Daphnia pulex: one gene and its partner. The protein of the gene in region 1 purifies or fractionates together with the protein of each later gene. This does not show direct contact. Links are inferred from orthologs where the notes say so. Each region holds a gene or a part of one and is shown on either strand. Other genes may lie near its edges. The genes, in order: cell division cycle protein 123 homolog and eukaryotic translation initiation factor 2 subunit 2-like.

Region 1 (4,523 bases):
AAGGTCCATCAGTTTGAAAGGATCTTCACCCGACGTTAAATGGGCTATATCTTCCGGAACGCAATAACGACGGAGTGGATTGCTACGGATCCCTGATTCTTCGGGAATGAAGCGAAAATCGGGCGTAGCGCTAGCGCTGAGAATAAGAACAAATTGAATTAATTATAAGTTGTGACGATTTTAAAATCAAGCTGAAGTAATTACCAATCGGAAGGCGATGTTGTCTTTGAAGCCTCGCTTATCTGTAGCAAATCTTCATTCCAGTCGAACAACAAAGAGTCTGTGATAACTCCATAAGGATTAAAATCGATCAAAACAATTTTATCCTTTCGTTGTCGAAATACGTCCATCACATAGTTGTCGAGGTGAAATTTAGGACGGATCTGTTCTTTGAAAAAACTGACAATGTCACGAACTATGTCTTCTTTTTCTTTTTCAATGAAGGGAGAAAACTGAGTATCATCTCTCTGTGAAATTCCTAATTGACACAATTAGAATCAATGTTTTAAATTTGAAACATGATGTAAAACCACTAACGTTACCTATTAGATTTTTATTCTGGACAAAACAACGGAATTCATTCACAGGGTTTATTTCAACCCACTTTCTCAAAACAAGATTATACTTCACAGGAGTTTGATTGACATTTTGATCTTCACATTCCTGTAATAAAGTGGCTGATGAGTTTGTTGTATAAAGTCGCTGATTAATTGATGTTGAACAATATTACTTTGAATGGCTCAGTCAGATCATGAAGAATAAAATCAGAGCTTTTCAGCAGTAGATGTACATCAGCAGACATGTGACACTGAAGAGAATTATTTAATGCAATCCAAGCAGCATCCTGCAGAATTCATAATACCTCGATGATAATATGAAAATTTAAGTTAGAAATAAAAAATATTAACACAACCTTGGGAGAACTCCAGTTTAATTTTATAAAGGCTTTACCACCAAATTCAGCTATTGCTGTGGTAATCTCTTTGTCAATGTCTTCAAAATGTGGGGCCTAGAAAAGCGAGAATTATAAAATACAGAAAAACCAAAATGCTAATAATTAAAACCTCAAGTGTAGGTGTCTCGCTTTCTGCCTTAGCCCAACCTTCTTCATCATCTTCAGAATCACTGGAGTCATCACGGGAATATGTAAGCAACGCTTGATCGCTGCGCAACACCAAGTTATCGGCGAGCAGGTAGTCGACAAACTCTTGAGTTAACGGAATAATTTTGCTAGGAAACGTCACCTTCTTGAACAGTGGATACCATTCAGAAAAAGAACACGCCTGGATTTCGTGGCTTTTCATCCCTTAACTAAGTTCCACGCAGGTTTATCAGATACCAAATTTGTTCGTGTCAATCGTGTTCTTACATTTGCTTTCTAAATTCAGTAGACTAGCCATGCATATGCAGTAACTAATAGTAACCAAAACTGTCACTTGCTTTTGTTATTGGTCGATAACGCCATCTATGAAGAGAAAATTGAAACGAGGATCAGAGAAAATTTGGTTTTGTATGTGGGCGGCGCATTCCAAACGAGTCTCTCGGAAACGATAAAATATCAAATCAAACACAATCAAATTTATGAAGCAACCGTGCCCTGCTGGTCCTTCTTGGTTTAAAAGGAGTCACAACAATTGAAAAAATTGGTCGGAATACCGAAGAACAGCGAACACTAAGACAAAATCGATGTGAAAATTGAGCATGGACTATATCGCAAAATTCAATTCAATTCAAAAATTTTTTTAATGGTTTTTGAAATAACCGGTTTTTACATGTGCTTATGGGGTGATAGTATTCAATGAAATTAACGACGGTGTAGTCTGTCTAAGGTAGCGCTCAGAGTTAATAGTGTAATAACTCTTACAAAATTGAAGTGTTTTAAAAACAGCCATCTTTCTTCTGCCAGCTTGCCACCTTTTTTCTTTATCCTTGTATCAGCTTGCATAGTCAATCGAGAAATGTCTAGAAATTGCTTTCTCATCTACCGATAGTTTTGTCAAGTTCATAAATCCCCGTGTATCCGTGAATGGCGCTCAAGAGTCAAGCCTTATAAGAATAAGTGGTTTTAAAGGAACGTCATATGTGACGAGATAACGACACGCATACAGTAGCTCCAAACTCTAATAGGAGTTTAAACTTAATACTTTAGAACTTATTCAAGAATGGTGTTATTTGAGAACTGCCACGTGATTAAAAACAGATGCACCCCTGGTGCACTTCGTGAGACTTGTCAGGCGATTATTTCTAGCGCTAACAAATAATTTAAAAAAATTTTTATTAGAATTTTCAACCGCGATTATTTTTCAAATTTCGAATCCGGCAAGTCTGCCGGCCACATCCGCACAAGGCCATAATAATATGATGGTACAGCTGTTGGTTTTAGAGGCCATTTCTTTGTTTACAATTGTTCACAAGACGTAATCAGGGAACTTTATTGACGGGAACAAGGTTGATTTGGGGGAAAGAGTCCGAACGAGTGACCGCTAAGGTGGTCGCTATACTGCAGCATAACGTCAGCTTCATGCATTGAAATCGGGCTTTGCCCTATTGAATTAACTGAGATAGCAATTTAAGTTTCGCTGATGTGATTTTGGCAGCTAAAATTGGGAATGAATGCCCCAAAAAGCTGTCCGTTCATTGAAATTATCATGGCCATCACAAAATAATTTTGCCTTAAGGGATTTTCGGGGATTTTTCCCCGTCAATAAAGACAACAACTAGCGTGAGACTATAGAGCCTGAGACGGTAACACAGGATACCTTGAAAATATTTTAGCATTACAATTTTGAACGGCGAAAATGCAAGTCTGCCGTGGGGAAGAGCCACAGAGGAGGGTTCTCCTGCGGGAGGTATCGTAGACGCCTGAAGTCGGCGGGAAATGGCCCATAAATGACAAAAAATGTTTATCTGAATAAGATTTACACCATAAAAGAAGAACGTGAAAAGGTATATACTTAGATCACGCAGACCAAAAGAAAAATTCTGGTTCCTGATTTCGATCAAATATGTGTGTGTTTCATTAAAGAAATTATCCCAACTGTAGCAGATTCTCGGACTAGTATATATTAATTTTGTGAACGATTTCGAAAATGAAAATAAAAATTTAACTAAAATCATAAGCTGTACTAGCCTATAGCATTTTTTAAGGTAAATTACAAAAGCTTATTTTAATGTAGTAGTGCTGCCGAGTGCCGGCGGGTTTTATATTTTCGAGGAAAACGCAACGAAAGCGAATGTGTTGAGGTTCAACGACTGAAAATTTCGACTACAAGTTGTGTTAGTATAAGACTTCGCGGTTCCCTTTTTAGAATTTCAAATTTAAATTCTTAAAACCACCTGTACAGGCGCTGCAGTCTACCGTGCACTACCTTAGCAACAAATACTGCAGGTTACTTCCGTAATCACGTAAAACATGAAATTTTAGAAAGTGAAATTTAGATAGCTTATATTTCTCTCTTTAGACACTTCCAGGAGAAGTAATTTTAAATATAAAACATAAAATGACAAAAGATAGCTCAAAAAACTTAATAAACAAAATTTAATAGTTATATATAAGAGAGCAGAACTCGGACGCAGCCGGATAAATGGACGGAAGAGCAGATTCGGATAAATGAGAATTGAAGTAGAAATGTAGAATAGAAGATAAAGAATTAATATAGAGATGTATCAACCCACAAATAACATCTATAAACTGATTTCTATGATTGTGAGTTTAGTTGTATAACTCAGTTTCATCAGCAGAAAAATGCACACAGCTTCGCTTGGAAACCATTCGCGGATCCGGCAAGAATGTTTTGCTTCAACAGAAGTCTGACGTAACCTTGAATTCGCCCACAATGCCATGTAAAAGTGTCTTTTATAAGCATCTATGAAATAAAGCCAAATATAAAAAGACTGAAAATGAGATGGGAGTCTCCCAAGCCTTAAATTAGACAGCACCTCTTGAGTAACCGCCCCTTTGCTTGCTCTTTCCTTCCAGCTGTGTTTGAAAAGAAAAAACCGACCGGTGGACTGGAGTCTACCTTCAAACACCACGCAACTTTAGAATCGCCAAGATGACATTTTCCGTGCTCGAATGGATTGCCACTGTAATGTTATCACTGATTGCATTAAAATTTACCTGGAATGTTTGCCACTTTGTTTTTACTACGTTTCTTGGTTCCTGGCTCAAATTGAATTTAAATCTGATGGATTACGGACCCTGGGCAGGTTAGAAAAAACATTTTTTTTTTTTTTTTTTTGCTTCGAACTATTTCCGTGTTGTTCCTTATCAAAATTTATTTTGTATAGGAATTCCTTTATTAATTAGCTTTTGTTTAGAGTTGGTCGCAAGCTATACATAATTTTCGCTGATCCTGCCTAAGGCAATTTTGAACATGTAAAGCAGGGGCCTTGTCCTTGGTAAACGTTATTCCATATATATCGTGGAAAGGATATGCATGAAGCGTGTTTGTGTTGAGCGTGTTAGCATAAGGAAAGGGTAGAAGGACGCGTGCAAAATATATTCATCAAATAGTGATGCT
Region 2 (3,389 bases), on another chromosome or scaffold:
CCGGTACGAGAATCCGTAAATCCCTGTAGTAAAGAAAAATGTAAAGAAATTAATTTATTCGTTATAAAGTAGAAAGAATCGACGACAACTTACTATCTCATGGGCAATCTGAGCCCCCCTTCCTTGACCGATAGCAGATAGAAGTTGGCCGGCCAATCTAGTAGCATTTGGACCTAAAAATACTTTTGCGTGATTCAATCGAGTAGCTAAAAGTGTGATCAAACGCTGTTTCAAACGAATTAGTAAATCTTCCTTTGCCGTAAGACTTTTCACAGAACCAAATAGCGTCTCCAGTTGGCTTTCATAAATAGAAGATTCGATTTGGTAAGAATTCATTTCCAGCTTCAAGTCATTGAGGTCTGGTGCTAAACAGTACTCAAGGCTACAGATGTAAACATCAAAGCCATTTTTTTTAGCCTGCTCAAGAACAAAATCAGTGGTTTCTTTCCTTTCGTGTTTGGAAAGATTCAAAATTAAACCTTCTAAGAAAGGTATAGAAACTAAGAATTATTCTGATTTCTTTATACTGGCAACTGAATTTGAATTACCGTCTATGTGTACTAAAGTAGGTTTGAACACCATTTTAATTTTTTTACTTTCTGAGAGATCCAAGCCTTCTTTAATAAGCTTTACCATGGACCCACTAGATAATCCTCCAGAATATGCCAATAAAACATGTTCATTATGTTTAAGAGCATGTGCTTTCCCAATCGTGGAACGGAATTTATGGACAGCATACTTCATAAAACAATCACTGAAACAAAAAATTTTTGATGATGAATTAAGAAGATTTTTTTTTAAGTTCGTTTTAGACTCACCGACAGTATGGATCTGTTTTACGTAGAAGAACTTGAGCCTTTAGTATGTTACATCTGCGGCATATTGCATCTGTACTAAATGACAATTTTTGTTTAAATGGTAGTTTCGGGTTACAAGCAAATAACCAAATCTTACACTGATAGTTTGGGAGTTGCGACCATGGTCTCTTCGGCTAAGTTTTCTTCGTTAATAGAACACATCATGAGCTTATTATAGAGGTAAGAGGTATGCTGATATAAAATTATCAAATTACTAAAAAATTAGATTGTCAAAACGAGGCAGAGTACGCATTTACACGATTACACGATCAAAATTCCCGAATCAGGAATCACGTTGCAGTAAATAACTAAATATGTCGTCTGCTAATTAACATGCTTGCCAAACAACTGACATTAATATTTTATTTTGATAATATCTTGAAATTTATTCTCTAACTTACATAAAATAATCAAAATACGTAACATATAAATTAAACTTCCAATTCAATGAGTTCTTAATGGCATTTATGTGGTTCACATGACGTAATGGCAACAGCTTAGCTGTGTGTAAAACAGCATTCAGGTCTGCCATTGCATCAGCTGGTATTCCGGCTAGACACGTTTACACCGTTATATTTGTTAATAACTTGTGCTACAAAATTAGTATTGTTTAATCATGGCAGAAGAAGAAGCAGTAAGTTATTGTTTAGAGTGTTTACCATGTCAAATTATATAAATTGTTTTTTTTTAGATTTTTGATCCATCTTTGAAGAAGAAAAAGAAGAAGGCCAAGAAGACCCCTTTCGATTTTGACGCAGCTTTAGCTGGTGGAACAGTTGGCAATGAGCCGGTTGAGTTAGAAGTAGGAAAGGAAAACGAAAATCCTGAAGAGGAAGAAGTAAAAGAAGTAGATGACTTAGATCTTGAAAGCTTTGGCAAAAAGAAGAAAAAATCTAAAAAGAAGGCTTTCCAACTTGAAGATACTGAAGTAGCCTCACCTGAAGTTGAAGGACAAGAAGGAGAAGCAGTTGAAGATCAAGAGGATTTAGATCTTGACTTTTCTAAAAGCTTGAAAAAGAAGAAGAAGAAGAAAAATACTGGAGCAGTTGAAGAAGAGAAAGACGAGAAAGGTAATAAAGAAATACATTATGGTTTGAATTCAAAAGTCAACATTTTTTACATTTGTTTTACAGAGGAAAATGCTGGAGTTGCCTGGACCACTGATGGAGATTACACTTATGATGAGCTTCTTAATCGAGTATTTAATATCATGAGAGAGAAGAATCCTGAAATGGTAGCTGGAGAAAAGAAAAAGTTTACAATGAGGCCTCCCCAGGTTGTGCGAATTGGAACCAAGAAAACGTCATTCGCGAACTTTTCTGAAATATGTAAAACGTAAGTTATATTTGTTACTCTTTTGACTACTTCTCTTACGACAGAATTATTTTGCTTCTCAGGTTACATCGACAACCTAAACACGTATTGGCATTTCTTCTGGCTGAGTTAGGTACCAGTGGGTCTGTTGATGGTAACAATCAACTCATCATCAAAGGTCGTTTCCAACAGAAACAGATGGAAAACGTATTACGTCGTTACGTTAAAGAATACGTCACTTGTCATACGTGTCGATCACCTGATACAATTCTTCAGAAAGATACTCGACTTTTCTTCCTCCAATGTGAAACATGCGGTTCAAGATGTTCTGTAGCCTCCATCAAATCTGGTTTCCAGGCCGTTACCGGAAAACGCGCGGCCATTCGAGCCAAAACGGCGTAAATTACTTCGTACAGAAAAAAATATGTGCTGTCTTTTGTCATTAATGAGAGAAATACATTTTCTTTCCTTTACCATTTTTTTCCAAGCAAAATTTCCATAATTTTAGGATAAGCACAATTGTTTTACGCCACAATTTTGTGTTTAATTACTTTCAATAATCTTAGTTACAACGAATTCTAGTGTGTTACAATTTTATATTTTATGAACAAATTTTTACTTCCACTCAAACTCCATGGTCTAAGGACATTCGACGGGAACTTCGTTCTGTTGCTCCGAAGTAACATCTTCGCCATTGCTAGCTTCGGTATCTATTATTTCGTAAGGATCACTGTCGCTTGTTGAATTTGATGCTTGTTTCAGAGGAGAGTCGCAATCACGCTGTATCAAAGAAATATGGTCTAGTTGCGATTCACGGTTGTCCTTAGTGGTTTCCAGTTGAACTGGAGAAAACCAATTTCCAATTATAGGAACCATCGAGAGTGTCAGCGTAGGAGGTTGTTCAGTGGCCTCAGAGCTCAGCAATCCTCCTCCATTCAGTTTCGACTGGCCTTTATAATGAGGAATATACAAGGCTAAGTCGTCGTCGTCAGCGTCCAGACGCTTCCTCTTGCGCTGCATTGTAAGAACATTAACTATAGACAAAGTATACTTGATTGACAAAATCAACAGACTTACTCCTGATCCTGGTACTGTAGCATTAGCTGAACCAGTCAAACGTAGCGGTAACCACCCGGAGAGCGAATTCAATATGCGGGTAAAAAAGTTCTGATTCTGCACTCCACGAGACTTGAAAAACAAATTAAAAAAATTATTTGG

What was found.
Region 2: the proteins of cell division cycle protein 123 homolog (region 1) and eukaryotic translation initiation factor 2 subunit 2-like purify together in Homo sapiens (affinity purification with mass spectrometry; 4 studies listed by BioGRID and IntAct, counting the BioPlex papers as one, with this or other methods). This does not show direct contact. The link is inferred for Daphnia pulex from reciprocal best matches to the Homo sapiens genes CDC123 and EIF2S2.

Annotation. Positions count from the first base shown.
Region 1 is NC_060019.1:12,366,243-12,370,765, reverse strand, and holds the start of cell division cycle protein 123 homolog, read right to left. Parts: upstream 3,031-4,523; 5' UTR 1,305-3,030; coding exon 1,065-1,304; intron 1,010-1,064; coding exon 914-1,009; intron 845-913; coding exon 731-844; intron 664-730; coding exon 543-663; intron 479-542; coding exon 205-478; intron 137-204; coding exon 1-136. Other genes in the region: very-long-chain 3-oxoacyl-CoA reductase-B-like, read left to right, coding at 4,056-4,209. UniProt on the Homo sapiens protein: ATP-dependent protein-folding chaperone for the eIF2 complex. Binds to the gamma subunit of the eIF2 complex which allows the subunit to assemble with the alpha and beta subunits.
Region 2 is NC_060020.1:3,233,337-3,236,725, reverse strand, and holds eukaryotic translation initiation factor 2 subunit 2-like, read left to right. Parts: upstream 1-1,333; 5' UTR 1,334-1,473; coding exon 1,474-1,491; intron 1,492-1,548; coding exon 1,549-2,192; intron 2,193-2,254; coding exon 2,255-2,573; 3' UTR 2,574-2,644; downstream 2,645-3,389. Other genes in the region: cytoplasmic tRNA 2-thiolation protein 2-B-like, read right to left, coding at 1-23, 94-482, 549-754, 819-893, 955-1,022; uncharacterized protein LOC124192455, read right to left, coding at 2,811-3,185, 3,249-3,359.